2 linked regions of the Diceros bicornis minor genome follow. The protein of the gene in region 2 binds, or shares a complex with, the protein of the main gene of each other region. Links are inferred from orthologs where the notes say so. Each region holds a gene or a part of one and is shown on either strand. Other genes may lie near its edges.

The links.
Region 1: the proteins of ANXA2 (region 2) and S100A10 are in contact, whole or in part, in a crystal structure (PDB 4FTG), measured with the Homo sapiens proteins. The link is inferred for Diceros bicornis minor from reciprocal best matches to the Homo sapiens genes ANXA2 and S100A10. Residues at the interface, in NP_001002857.1 of Homo sapiens: Val4, Glu6, Ile7, Leu8, Lys10, Leu11, Ser12, Leu13; in NP_002957.1 of Homo sapiens: Phe39, Gly41, Phe42, Asn45, Gln46, Ala51, Lys54, Ile55, Leu79, Ala82, Cys83, Tyr86, Phe87, Met91.

Annotation. Positions count from the first base shown.
Region 1 is NC_080743.1:56,176,750-56,183,980, reverse strand, and holds the start of S100A10 (protein S100-A10), read left to right. Parts: upstream 1-4,228; 5' UTR 4,229-4,327; intron 4,328-7,231. UniProt on the Homo sapiens protein: Because S100A10 induces the dimerization of ANXA2/p36, it may function as a regulator of protein phosphorylation in that the ANXA2 monomer is the preferred target (in vitro) of tyrosine-specific kinase.
Region 2 is NC_080744.1:55,241,223-55,248,995, reverse strand, and holds the start of ANXA2 (annexin A2), read left to right. Parts: upstream 1-4,772; 5' UTR 4,773-4,848; intron 4,849-5,477; exon of another isoform or gene 5,478-5,741; intron 5,742-7,773. UniProt on the Homo sapiens protein: Calcium-regulated membrane-binding protein whose affinity for calcium is greatly enhanced by anionic phospholipids. It binds two calcium ions with high affinity. May be involved in heat-stress response.

The sequences.
Region 1 (7,231 bases), on a different chromosome or scaffold from region 2:
CTCATCTCCAGACTCATCCCCGTCCAAAGCCCTAAGGGACTGCATACAACCCCATGCAGAACTCGGGTCAATTCCTAGAAGAGATGCACTACCTCACAATTCCATGATCTCACACGTGCTTTTCCCTCCTGTCTGCCCCCAAAGAACATGGCCAATTCCTACCTGTCCTTTAAGATACACATAAACAGACAAACAAAAGCCCCTGAGAGGATTCTACCCTAAGAAATAAACATGTGGGCAAAGATGTTTATTCAAAAGTAGTCCTTTTATACATAATTATTATTTATGACAGTAAAAAACTGGTAACAACCTAAATGTTCAAAAAATATAGGGAACATTTAATAAATTATATTTCCCTATTTAGGATGTACTAGTATATCCACCCTTGAGGGTTTGTTGTTTTGTTTTGTTTTTTGGATTGCCAGCAAAAAGAATTGACCAAGCAACTGTAAATCAGTGGTCCTCAACAGAAGTGCCATGGGGTACTGCTGTGACTCTTACTAGGGCTTGGTAATTGACAGATAAAGTTTCCTTTTGCTACAACTGTTATTCACGCCATGTCTGGGCAGACAGAATGTTGAGCTAGGCTGCACACAGTTTCTGTGTGGTGCAGGGCACGACTTGATACACACAAAGAAACTTGCTTGCCAGGACCTGTGAGAACTTTGCCCCATGAGTATCTAAGAGAGAGTGATCAGAGCAGTAAATCCTACTCAAACACTGACACGTTGCTGAAGTGTGATCAGTATAATTGACCTTTATTGACCTACCAGTACATACTATACATGCAACTTAATCCTTTTGAATGTGCTGCCAGAAATACTAGCATCAAAAGAATGCCACTCTATTCGTTAGAGTTATGCCGTAACAAATAAACCCCCAAATCCTGGGGTTCTTCCTCACTCACATAACTAGTCCAATGAGGGCATTCCTGGTCAGCTGGTGGTTTTCCTCCACTTGGTGATTCAGGGACCCAAGCTCCTTCCAATTGTGGCTCTTCCACTCCTAGAGCCTCAGAGTCCAGCAGATGGAGAGAAAGAATGTGGAACAGTCACCTCTTAACCACCTTGGCCTGCAAGTGACACATCACTTCCAGTTCCATTCTGTTGGTGACTAGTCAGAGTCTTACCTAGGTGCAAGAGTTGCCAGGATCACAATCCCTGGCTGAGCAGCCACTTCCCAGCAACACTTCTACACTATGACGGGAAGAACACACATTTCTGGTGGACAATCCGCCCTCTTTGCTACAGCCACAAACCCAAAAAAGTTGAGAACCATTGGGTAACGATTTTGTTTCCACATGGAGAAGTGGGAAAATACCCAATAGTGCCTCATTAGTAAAACAATGCCTCCTGCTCCTGGCCTTTTGTACACTGAGTGTATCACAGGCCTGGTGGAGAACTTGAACATTGCCTCATCTTCAGTCCAGGGACCATACTGGCTTGGGCCTCTGTGCCCATTCCTTTGATGGCCATTCAGTCTGCTCCTCTCCACACATCTCTCCTTCACCCTCTGCCACCCCAACCTCCTTCTTGGTCAGCTCTGACTCAGATGCTGGTCCCTGGTCCCATCAGTTGTCACTAGGGAAACAGAGCTGGCTCCACCATGTGCATGTGGTTTACAACGCATACCACTTTCTGGAGAAAGAACTGCCTGGGACCACTTCTCCTAGAGAGAGAGTATTGGCATGGCAGGTACTTAGAGCTTTCTTGACCTATCGGTACACAGAGTTATAAAACGCCACAAGAGGGCAGGGATAATGTCCATCATGCTGACCATTGTCACCACTATATCCACAGCACTTAGCACAGTGTTTCAGAAACCCAGGTCTCTTCCATCTTGTGGAGCTGCAGCCAGTAGGGCCTGGGAGCCCTAGAGTCTGGCTGGCAGGCTGGAGAAGAGAGTAGAGAAGCCACAGTGTAGTTGAATAGTTACCTGTTGAATGAAAAAAATAATAATAATGAATAAATGAATGAACACTCATGCTCTTGATAAATATTTCACAGAAAATAGTCAAGATAAAGCATTACAGGATGAAAATAGAATACTGTACGTAATTTTATAATCAGTGTGATCACAACTTAGGAATCTCACATCAAAAGTAAAAAGAATGAATTTACTTATTTTTAACAATTTTCAGCACTTCCTAGCCCTTTCACTAAATAACTACCATCCAACCCACCAATTAATTTAATAGCAGTTGTCACAATGACTATTGTTTGCCAATTCTGGCTGATGCCTGACAACTCCAAGGAAAAATGGATACACTCCGTTGGGGTAGAGAAGGCTTCTGAGTTTTTTCTTCCTATTGGATTGCATCTGGAACTTTTCCTTTGCTGCCCACTTTTTTAGTGGGCAAATTTTATGTTTGCTGAAAGGTGGGAGAGACAACCTGGATCCAGGTCTGTTGCCTCAACTCATTTTCTCTGAATTCTCTTTAGGGATCAAATTCAAGAATGCCCTTTTGGTTCAATTTTCAAAAAATATTAATAATTTTCCCCCAAGTCCCCAAGTTATGTAAATATATATTATATATGCATGAAAAGACTTAGAAGGAAAGACATAAAAGTGTTCATCTTTGGTTCACGGGTTTATAAATAATTGTATTTTCTTTTTTATACATTGCCATATTTTCCAAACCTTCTACAATAAGAATGTAAGCTTTTTTACAATCAGATTTAAAAGGCAAGAGTGTCATTGTTATTTTTAAAGCATCTATCAAATGTTGCCTCCTCCAGGAATAGTTCTGTGACCACTCCAAGGGGACTTGCAGGCCCCTCCTCAACGTTCTTATAATGTCTGATAGTGTCCTCTACCATTCACTGAGCATGCTGGGTTTTAATTGTTTACTTATCTTTCTCCCAACAAGACTTGAAGCTCTTTGAGGGAAGAGACTGATTCTTTAACCTCTGAATCCCCAGGGCCTAGCACACACTAAGCATTCCTAAAGGTTTGTGAATCAAATGAAATCAAATAAACAGGAGTATATAAACTCAGGCGTTGTCACTCTAAATCCAGTTGCATCTTCCCTGGGAATAAAGGGATCCAGGATTTTCTCCACTCTTGACTGTAACCTGGGGCCTGGGAAGAACTTGGGAAGCATATGGGAAGAGTTTGAAGAACTGCCCCCAGAACAGTCAGCACCAAGGTCGCAGGAACTCAGTGGGAGTGAGAGCTGAAATCCAAGTTGGGTTTTCCTGGCAAGAGCCAAGAGTAGTCACATGGTGACACTTGGAGGATTCCCCGAGTCTGCTCATTCCTTCGGGATCACTCACTCCTCTGAGGACCTCCCCTGGGAACAAAGGAAAACCCAGGACTTGGGACTGGGCCCATTTCCACCAACAGCTGCTAGTACTTTGCATTTAACCCTAAACCACAATTAAAATAAATGTCAAGAGGGAAAGGGGAATACCATCCGCTAGGAAACACTTAGGTATTCTCTAAATTTCTTCCAGAAATTTCTTCTAAAGGACCAAACAGGCGAAGTACAGGACAGAAAGAAGCAGGGTTTGAATCTTCCGTTTTAACAGTATCAACCACAACTGAAGCTGAACTATCGACCAAGTGAAGCCATACACAAGAGTGGTAAATCCCTGGTCAACAGAGGGTTTGTAACGCCCTCGAGCTGACAAGCCGAACTGCACCCTCTCTGCCCCAACCCCGCGGGACAGGCGGGGGCAGGGACCTCGGCTTATTCCAGATGCCCGCGGACCCGCGGGCGCAGGCCGCGAAACCCCTCCGTACCGACCTCCTAGGGCCTAATCTGAGCACAACCCAGCCTGACGCCCGCGCGGTCGTTAGCACTCCACGTGCCCCCTCCCTGCAGTGTCATCTAGAAAACAGAAATTCCAAGACCTGTAGGTTACCGAAGAGCCGCTTACATCTGGTTCCGGGCCAGCGAGCCCCACCCGCAGAACGTCTGGATTCTTTGATTTCCACACTCACTCACTTTCTAAAACCAAACCCGAGAGGAAGGGCACGGCCGAGGGTGCGGAGGGATGTCCTGAACTGTACGAGAGCATTCCAGTAGGCAGAGAAGTTTACAACACGTCCTGTAAAGCTCTCACTGGGGGCGGGGGGAGGCCAGGAGCGAGGCTCCTCTCTGCACAGCCTCACAGAGAGCAGGGTGTGCGCGCTGCGCCCATGTGGGGGGTGGGGGCAGGAAGAGGAGGGAGGAGAAGGGGTGGGGTGAGCCGAGGCCCCGACACCGGCCCAGGCTCCTCCCGCCTCCCCCCACCCCCACGTACTAAAGCGCCCTGCCCGCCGCGCTCTCTTCACTGGCCGCGCGTCCCAGCCGCCGAGTGTCTGCGTTGCGTCTCCGGCCAAGGTGAGTTCTGCTCGCCGACCCCGGGCTGTCTCCAGCCCCGGACCCGGTGCTCGGCGGGAACATCGGCTGCTCTGGCCCACCGGGCCGGGCCTCGCGGGGTGGTCGGGCGCCGGCGGTTCTGGGCGGGGGGCGGCTGAGGGGTATCCGCTGCTCCGCCCTCTGGGCTACATCCAGGCGAGGCGAGCAGCGCCCCTGTCCGGCCCGGCGCGACCCCTCCCTAGATCCTCGCGGACGGGAGGACGGGACACTTGTCCTTTCCTGCAGGACCTGGGCGATGGTGCCCCGCGATCTGCTTTCTTCTCCCTGTTTAATTTTCTTTACTCCCACTTTCCTACTTTTGGATTAGTCTCCCGAGTTATCCGAACCCCCATGTCTCTCCCGCGTCCTCGCCGGCATGTTGCTTTGTGGGCTCTGGCTGCAGGCTGACCTCCGCCCAGATGTTCCCAGCCTCCTAGCTGGACGGCCCGAGCAGGCATGGGGAGGGCTGGGCGGGTTGGCAGCTGGCGGATTCCCTTCCTAAGGGACACTCCTCAGTCCCTCGCCCACAGGCTTCAGGTTGGGCTTCCTGTTGTTTGTCTGCTAGAAAGGAAGGTTCTTACTGCCCAGGGAGGAAGATATATTTGTTTTCTTTATAAAGCAGTTTTGCTAGGGGGCAGTGGGGGAGAGGGCACTATGCGAAGTGATTTCCCTATTGAAAGGGTTCCCTTCTTGCTATCTTAATCAAACTAGTGGAACTATAAAGAGATAGGGGAAGAGGAGGCTTGGTGAAGGATCTTCCAAACTAGATTAATCTGGCCCAGTGCAATGAGGCAGAGAGAGACGTGCTGTTGGTACCTGGTCACAACTTGAGTTGGCTAAAGGAATGGCGCTCCCCAGCCCCAGCTGGTCTCCACCTAACTGAAACCGGGATGCTGCCATGCTGGGTGGGGGTGGTGAGGAAAGCGGAGCAGCTACGGACCAGCTACAAAGAGCCCTAGGCCAGACTCTGGAATACATTAAGCACACCCCCCTTCCCTCCCTTGGGGAGCTGGAAGCATTCTGCAGGGCGTGGTTAGCACAAAAAGGGCTCCCAGATTCTCCTAGTGGAGGCCTGTGACTCAGCTGTGAGACCATGTGGGTGTGGCCCTGATGGCTCCAGATTCTCTCTGCAGATGGTTCAGACAGAATGCTCCCTAAAGGAAAAGGGGAACTGTGCCATCTTAGAGGGCATTTTCCAGGAGGAAGTGAGTCACACCAGAGCTGGCCGGCAATCTGAAGGAGAGGTTTCTTGACTGAACTGTGGGTGAGGGCAGCAGTTAGACTGGCAGGGCCTTGGTGAGACCGCTGCTGGGTTATCAGCCAGTCTGCCTGCTGGCGGATTGCCTCAGCTTTACTTGGGAGGTTGCTTTTCCGTTAAGAGGTTTGCACTGCTGCAGATTTTTTTCCCCTGCAGCTTGTGTTTCAACCAAGCGGATTTTTATATCCTGCACTTCAGGTGAGGCCAGGCTCATGGAAACACCCTGTCAGTGATCTTTGCCTCCAACGTGTTTCAGCAAATTGCAAAAGATAGTGCCAGGGATTGGGGCAGGAATGAGTTCATATAACTCATTTGAAATTTCTTCATCAGCCCTGCCCCCACAGGTTCTTATCCAGTGTCTACTTAATCATCTCTTCTCAATAGTATATGCCTTCCTTGATAGCCAGAAGCTACTTTCTTCATCGTGGTCCTTGATCTACCATATGGAGTTTCTTATTTCAGTTCTTGATATTTTCTTGAGGGTCTGCTGGGCATAAAGCATTTTGATTTCTAGGTGATGCTCTTCCCTGGCTTTTCCTGCATACAATCAGATGGGCCTTTTCCTCCCATATCTGGACTCAGGCCAGCCCCACAAGCAGCTACCCAGTGATGTTAAGTCTTGGGCTGAGTAGAGCTGAGACTGGGTGCCTCCCTGCTTTCCACTGACAGTTCCAAAAATGTGACTTTTTTAGAGCACTACCCACTTGGTATGGCCTTGGACACAGTCCAGTCTATTAAAGTTGAGGGAACAATGGAATTCTTTCAGGGTTATAATGTATAAATTAGCACTCAGAGTGCTGGGAGAGCTGGACTGAAGTTTTAGGATCTTTCTTAAGCTTCTCATTTTCCTGGGACTCAACAATTTAGGAATCTCACATCAAAAGTAAAAAGAATGAATTTACTTATTTTTAACAATTTTCAGCACTTCCTAGCCCTTTCACGAAATAACTACCACCTGACCCACCCAATGGCTTTAATAGCAGTTCTCACAGTGGCTATTGTTTGCCAATTCCGGCTGATGCCTGACAACTCCAAGGAAAAATGGATATACTCCGTTGGGGTAGAGAAGTCTTTTGAGTTTTTTCTTCCTATTGGATTGCATCTGAAACTTTTCCTTTGCTGCCCACGTTTTTAGTGGGCAAATTTTATGTTTGCTGAAAGGTAGGAGAGACAACCTGGATCCAGATCCGTTGCCTCAACTCATTTTCTCTGAATTGTCTTTAGGGATCAAATTCACGAATGCCTTCTGGGTTCAGTTTTCCCGTCCAAAAAATGTTTTCTTCATCTTAAAATCGCTAAAGCAAAAGGAAGGAAACCTCAAACACATTTTAAATAACAGATGTTTGTTTTTACTGACACCCTGCCAATTATTTTCTGGGTGGGCTGTAAGAAAACTAGGGTATGGACAAGACACAGAAGAGCAAAGTAAATCAGACCTCTTGCTCTTTAGAAGTGTCCTTTTTGAAATTACGGCCCGGATCTGGGCGTGGGTCCAGAGCAAACATTTGGGACTGCTCAGGAGCAGACACTTTTCTAAGGAGGCCTCCTGCTTCCCTGCTACTCCCAGGAGGATCAAAATTTACATTATTGTCAATTTCATTCTTACCAATTCATTGAGCAGGCGCTAT
Region 2 (7,773 bases):
TATCTTTCCTGATACATTTATAAGATGGTATTCTTCTGTGAATAAGAGCTTTCCCTATCCCATCTTTTTGTGTATTTTTTTAAACTATCAGTTTAGACTGTTCAATGTAATATAATCAATTCCCATCATTATTCAATATGATGCTCAAATTATCCCAAATTTTAACCAGTAAGAGCCCCTTCAAATTGGCTTTTGTGCCTTTTTGATATGTTCCAATCAGTTGTTTAGAACGAAGCTTACCCGTCCCTGGAACCAACCGTTTCTCCCAGGAGAGCTGATTCATTTACTGGGGAATAGTATTTAGAAACTAAGATCTGAGTATTGAATATAATGCCATCGTTATTTCTTACTCTTCATATATGACCTTTTTTTTTATCTCTCTGGGATCTTTTAGGAATGTCTCCTTGTCCCCACCCAGTGTTCTGAAATTTCATGATAATGTGCCTCGGGTTTGTTTGTCTTTCCATTTATTGTGGCTTTTCAATCTAAAAGCTCACGGCCTTCAGTTCTAGAAAATTTTGTCAGTTATTTCTTGATGATTTTCTCTCTTCCATGTTGCCTATTCTTTCTTTATAGAACTCCTATTATTTGGATGTTAGATCTTCCAGGTAGCTCTTTTTCCTCTTCTGGCCACCTCTTCAAATACAAGACATTATTATATACTGATTGCACATAACAAGGTTCAAGGAAATCATAGCTTTCTGGTTAGTGAGAATCTAAACCTTATAATGTAGAGGACTTGAGACTAGCCTTTGTCTCACTGAAGCAGTGGTGGTGTGTGAGAAGTATGGTGGAATGGAAAAAGCAATGGATTGAAAGGCAGAAAAATATATTCTCGTCTTGGCTCTGCCACTTACTAGTTTCAGGATTGTGGTAGGTTGTCTGCAAAGATGGTTGCCAACAATTCCTCCCACCCATGTAAACATATGTCACTCCCTTTATGAAGAAGTGGAGTTTATTTCCCCTTCCCTTGAATCTGGGTTATAGGACTTGCTTTGACCCACAGAATACAGTGGAAGCGACCCTGTTCCAGTTCTGGGCCTGCAGCTTCCACTTTCACTCTGGAAAACCAGCAACTACCTTGCTGGAGAGAGGCCCTGCTGGATCTTCCAGCCTCATTTGGGTCTCCCTAGCCAAGGCTAAACAGACTGGAATCGAGCTGACACAATGAACTCTGCCCTTTGCAGAATCGTGAACAAATAAATGGTGGTTGTTGTTTTAAGCCTCTAAGATTTCGAGGTGGTTTATTTCCTAGTAATAGGTAACTGAAACAGAAATTACTACCTGGATGTGGAGTGTTGCTGTAACAAAAACCTAAAATAAGTGACACTGACTTTACTGCCAGGCAGCAACCAGAGAGAAGACTGTTAATGGAGGTTGGAAGAGTGGTGAGGAAACTGCTACGGGAGGTTAGAGAAAAGGCAACCTAGGTTATGTGTTGGCAGAATGTTGAACATTACTGTTGCCTGTGGTAACATGAATAACAGAAAATGTCCCTATTGAATTTGTGAATCTAGCCAAGGAGATTTCCGGGCAGGCTGCTTTAAATGCCAATAGTCTTCTTTTAGCTGCTTATGATAAAGTATAAGAAAAAAAAATGCACTAAAGAAAGATCTATTTGGGTTTCAAGCAGAATTCTAGCCAGTGAAAGATTTGTAAAGTAAGAAATGGCCTCAGGATAAAGATCAAATCATGTGTGGCTACAAGACCTTTTTTATTTTAAGATTCCAGAAAGATTTAATGTGGTACTTTGAAGACTATCTCAGAGCTTCTAAGAATCTTAAGTGCATTGTTCCAGCCTGACAAGCACAAAACAGGGAGAAAGGTCTGTTTTTAGAAAGAATAATGAATGTGAATTTTGGAGCATGGAGTTAAACCTCATTAAGATGTATAAAAAACCCACAAAGTTTTTGAGAAAATTGTATTGGATATGAGTTTTGAAGCATAAAGTAAACCTCAATAAGATTTATAGAAAATCCACAGAGTTTTTAAAGATAAATGTATTAATGAAAGAACTGCCAGCTTGGACACACAAACAGTTCAAAAGAAAAGAAGTTTCTGGACCTTTGAGATTTTTTACTGGCATGAAGCCGATTGAGAGAGCTACTCAGCTACAAATATGGGCCCTTCTTAAGGAAAAAGAAAGACACCTCAGAGAGGGGAGTCAAGAGGGCAGAGGGCAAAGCCCAAAACTGATTAGACAATGGATTAAAGCAAGGATCAGCAAACTACAGCCTATGAAGCCAACCCAGCCTCTTGGTTGTTTTTGTATAGCCTACAAACCAAGAGCCCTAGCAGCTTCAGCTTTTGCTTCTGGAAAGCCAGCTGCCATTACTCCCCTGGTGCAGAGAGAAGGGGGGACCTGGAGGATGAGACACCAAGGGACAGAGAGACCCAGCCTGCTCTCAGCCATTCTAGCAACTCCAGCTGAGGCACCAGACAAATGAGTGAAGCCACTTTTCCATCCTGCAACCCCGGCTGAGCTGCCCCATCCAACACCATGTGGAACAGAGCCAAGCTCTCCCCACTGAGTCCCATCCAAATTGCAAAATCATGAGCAAATAAATGGTTATTTATGTTTTAACCACTAAGTTTTGGTACTAATTTGTTACATTGCAATGAGTAACTTGAGTGCATCATTTAATCTCTGAACTGGGCAGGGGACTTTATTGGGCTCCAGCTTTTTCATCTATAAAAATCAAGATCAGACAAGTTAGTCTCTTAAGGCCTCTGTCTGCTCTAACATTCTATTACTGGGTGAATAACTCTGTTCTATTATTCTATAATTTTTAGCGAGTGCCTATCACTGCTAGCAAGGCACCATTAGCGGTGCTGAGGTGTAGCAGATAAAGTGTGAACAAAATAAAGTTGAGGCTTTAGAGGACAGTACGCACAACAGCAGACGTAATCTGAGATCTGCTGTAGTAAACATTCTCCCCAGCCATGGGGGAAAAAGAAAGAAAGAAAAAAGAGAATCTTTGCACTAAGAGATTCAAAAGGTCTTTTATACTGGCAGAATTGGCCCCACATTCCTTAAAAATAGCAAACCATGCCTTCTAACAGCTCCATTTTTATGATAACATCAGTGTCAAGTTCTGCAGCATGAAGCAAACTGTGTCTATTGCACAGATCTGTATGTTTGGATTTGCTGGATGCCCAAGATAAGCAAAAACATTCTTTTGGATACTTAGTGGCTTTTATGTATTCCACATGCTTCTAAGTAAATCTTGTCGTCTGTGGAGGGCCTCCCACAGCACAGTTAGGAATAAGAGGCTGTGCAACCTGCCCCAAGAAGAAGAAGGGGAGGTGGAATCCTGTCCACCATTATGGTCCACCTGTGTTCCCCTTCTGTTCCAAAACGTTCAGGGGAGTAGGCACATAAACACGATTTCTGCCTGTAAGGCTTTCAGCCTAAATTGAAGAGCTATAAATGTAAATCAGAAATTGTATCAAAAGAGTTGCTTTATTCTCTATTTGTCCTTCTGATAGGGCCTATCGTGTATCATTCCCAATGAAAGAACAGGGTGACAGTGAGCTCTGGGCTGAGTGTCGAGTGCCCATTTGTGGCTCCGACTTTGCAGCTACCTGGTTAGGTGACCGTGAGCATGGCAACGAATGTTTTTTGGCCTTGCTCTCCTTTTGATTCCCAGGAGTGAAATGACGCTCAACTGGGAACTAAAAAATGGACGTTCAAGATGGATTAAAACACACAGGCAACGTAGGAGAAAGAGCTGCATGAGGCGAGTGTGAAAGGAAGGAATTCAAAGGCACAGAGAGAGGTCTTCCGGATTCTTAGAAAAACATTCCCGCTAGTTTGAGGTTTGAATACTGTATTTGCTCAGTCACACACAAAAACATGTTTGCTATTACATGTTGCCATCCTGGCTCGTGGAAGGAGAGCAGGGAAGAAAATCGAGAAACTGAGCAAAACCAAGCAGGGAGCTGGCTGCGAGGCTGTGAAAAACGGCAGTTATGAAAGAAGGAAGGGAGGAAACTTCTTTGTTGGAACTCGAAGTTCAAAGCCACCCGCCCCACCCAGCCCAGGACGGCGTGCCACGCGGACGCGCAGAGCTACACGGCGCGGCGCGCGTGGAGTGGCTGAGTAGAGCGCCCTCGGGAAGAGGGCGCCTCCCGGGGCGGGAGTGGGGTAGGATCTTGGCTCCTGGCTTCGGCCTCCCACCGCCCACCCCAACCCTGGCTCCCGGCCTCCCTGCGCGCTCGGAGGCCGAGGCGGGCCAGTCTTTGCAGGGCAGAACCCGGCGGATCGCCCTCCCCGCGGTCCTCCCGGGAACTGCCGGTCAGAGGTTAAGCTAATATGTTTGCAGACAGTTATGAGGAAATGGATGCCAACAGCCCAGCTCAGGGGAATCACGATTTATGTTTCTTGGAACAAGTCTTCCTTCCATTGCATTGACGCCTAAAAAAAACCTGACTTAACTAAGATCAGAGTCTACTAAAGTCCTGCTAATTTATTAACCTAAGCCAGAGCTGAGAACTCGACGTGGCGCTCAGGAAGGAAACAGAGGAAGGGAAGAAGAAACGAGGTCGACAATGGGCCTCGAGGAAGCCTCGGCGGCGCTTTAAAGGAGGGCAGGGCCATGGGCGCGGGGGCCGCTCCCGCGTGGCGCGGCTCGGGGAATGTTCCAGGGCTAGGCCACCCCTGCGGGCGGGCGGGCCGGGGAGGGTGAGTCACCCTGGCTCCGGGTGAGAGCGGGCAGGGCACGGGGGAGGCGGGGCGGGGCGGGCCTCTCCTGCACCGTGAGGATGTGGCGGCTATAAAAGCCCCACCCAGGCCAGCCGGCTCCGCTCTGCATCTGGGACGCTTGCAGCTCTCGGCGCCCGGCCCAGGTAAGCGGGGCGCGGCCCGCCCGCCCGCCCGCTATGGCCGCGGGGCCGCCGGCTAGCGGGGCGCGGAGAGGAGGGGAGACGGCCTTGCAAAGAGCAGCTCAGGCGAGCGGAGCCGGGAGGCCGTCCGCGGGAGGGGGCTGGAGGGAGGGTCGGCACCAGGGTTTCTACGGGGAGGCGACGCAGTGGCAAGGTGGTCTGGGCAGGAGTGAGGGGGGCCGGTTGCGCCCCGTCTTGGGGGGGCAGAGGGAGGGGGTCGGGCATCCCCCCGAAGTGCTCGCAGGAAGCCCAGCGAGACGGCGCAGGGGAGGGGAGCGCAGGGAGGCCCCACATTCCAGACGCGCCAGGAGGGCAGGGTGTGGCCGCCTTGGGAGCCGCGGGTCCCAGGCGGAGCAGTCCTCGTGGGCATTTCCCTCCACGTTTAAGAAAAGCGTTACGGCCATCTAGAAAGTAATCCCCATCTGTTCCAAGTTACTTTACTTGAAACAAAGGTGCACTTGTGGAACTTGTACCGACCAGCAGGAGGGAAGCAGTAGGGGGAGGATGAGGGGTGGGAGTTTTTAGAAGCAACCCCCCACCCCAATAAAACAAAACAAAACGGAAAAAGCCTCAGCTCATTCTTCTGTGTCTAGATTGTCTTGTAGGAGAACAACTTTTGATTTCCGTGTATCTGGAGAGTTTCCCACTTTGACTACTTTTGCATCAGGAAGGAAGTGTCCCCCGTGGTTCTGTGGCGAGTGTTGTCACTGACTGTTGCTCGTGATGATGCGGCAGTAAGTCAGGGACCAAGGGTGCACAAAAGGGCGTGGCTCCCTGGGCTGCGCCTTGCAGCTCTGTGAGGTGGGTTCCAGCGCCTGGTGCGGAGGGCTGGATTCCATCAACTGGCTGTTGAGAAGGTAGGAGGCGGGTATCAATTTCCTTATCTATGAAAGTGGTTTAAGGATACCCATTCATACCTCCGCTCGTATAGGGTTATTATTGAAAAATCTCAAAAAACATGTTCATTCAAAAATAAATATGTAAAGCACATTGAAAACATTAAGTGCCATACAAATCCAGAGTGTCATTACGTGTGTGTTAAGGTTTGCCGTTTTAAAGCTATGGGTACCCTGAATCTGTGTGTATAACAGCAGTGGCCTCATGGGTGCACACTGCTTTTTTTTTTTTTCACCAAGAACCATCAGGTCCTGGAGTCAGAAGGCTGGGCCCCTGAGCTCAGACTGACTCGATTGATGGCTTCTGTCCAAAAGTGTACTAGTGTGCCTGTCTGGAACTTGGTGGTTTGGAATGGAGAAAGCACTTTCCCACTGAAACAATGTTATAGAAGGCGCTTACATTCCCAGGTTAGCCCAGAAGCCCCTACTTAACATGCACTGTATCTAAGTACTGTACATGCCTAATTTTGGGCGTGGGGTGATGCGGGGGAGGAAAGGTGGAAGGGTGAGGGAGGATATGTGGGTTGGAAGAATAAGTTGCTGAAATATTTTTCTGAAACTTTTCTTAGTTGTAAGACTGGCCCTGAGTAAATTATTTTAATTGGAAAATTACATCTTTGCCCCCCCTCTCCACTTTTCTCTGCCTTCCTTGCCTCCTTAGAGACCCTCTTCTCTGACATATTACAAAAGCTGTCCAGGCTTACCCAGTTCTGCTGCATTTCTCCTTCTTCCCATCTCACTGTACTTAACCCAGCTAGAGACTAGCAAATTGAATCAGTATTCATTAATACTCAATATTAGGAATGGTTGGTGGTCCTAAAATTGTCAGCAACCCAGAGGAGTTGTGTTATTTAAAAAACCAGGAGAGGGCCGGCCCCATGGCTTAGCGGTTAAGTGCACGCGCTCCGCTGCTGGCGGCCCGGGTTCGGATCCCGGGCGCGCACCGACACACCGCTTGTCCGGCCATGCTGAGGCCGCGTCCCACATACAGCAACTAGAAGGCTGTGCAACTACGACATACAACTGTCTACTGGTGCTTTGGGGGAAAATAAATAAAAATTAAAAAAAAAAAAAAAACCACGAGAAAACTTTGTTAACCTAAACAGATCTGTAATTTATAGAATTCGAGGCTGTGGCATCAGGGAGCCACAAAATACAATATTCAGGCAATGTGAAGGAAGATTTTAGATGAGGCCAGCTTCGGTGAGGCAAACTCGAAGAGATGTCCTTGTGGGCAGTGGTCTTAAGACATTCCTGCTTAGCACTTTTCTCGCCTCTTCTAAGTCCATCTATTATCTAAAAGCTTCAAGAGTTTCTCCAAAAGTATCCCTCTCATCTGCAATGGAAAGGTGTGACCGTCAATGTGCATTTTTTTAGTTGGGGGTTTATGATTTGGATTTTTGTCCAAAAAACCGCTGCATTTTGTCATTTCCCGCAGTGCCAAGTGGCCTGCCTGTGGTGAATGCCCAGGAAATATTGCTGACTCACTGGCTTTGATCCAGAGCTTGGGCTTGGATTGACGTCTCAATATTTAACATTCTATGTCTTTGAGCTTTTAAAGTACTGTATTGATTGACGTTATGCCGGCAATGATGGCCATTAGTTTCCTGACTAATTTCTGATTTCAGTAGTTTTCCTGGTAAGGTAGATATCCTTCTATAATTGCTATTGATTTTGGGGGCTTCCTGTACCGCTGGGCTAGAATCTGGCACTAACACACGGTCATGGGCCTTTGTTCTCATCTTTGCTTATGCGGGGTGCTGTGGGCTCCTGATGCATTTTCCACTATTGGGGGTGGGCATGTCACAAAAGGAGTCCCAGGCTCTACTGCGCTGCTTTATTTTTTTATTTATTTTTTTTGTGAGGAAGATCAGCCCTGAGCTAACATCCGACGCTGATCCTCCTCTTTTTTGCCCAGGAAGATTGGCCCCGAGCTGACATCTGTGCCCATCTTCCTCCACTTTATATGGGATGCCGCCACAGCATGGCGTGA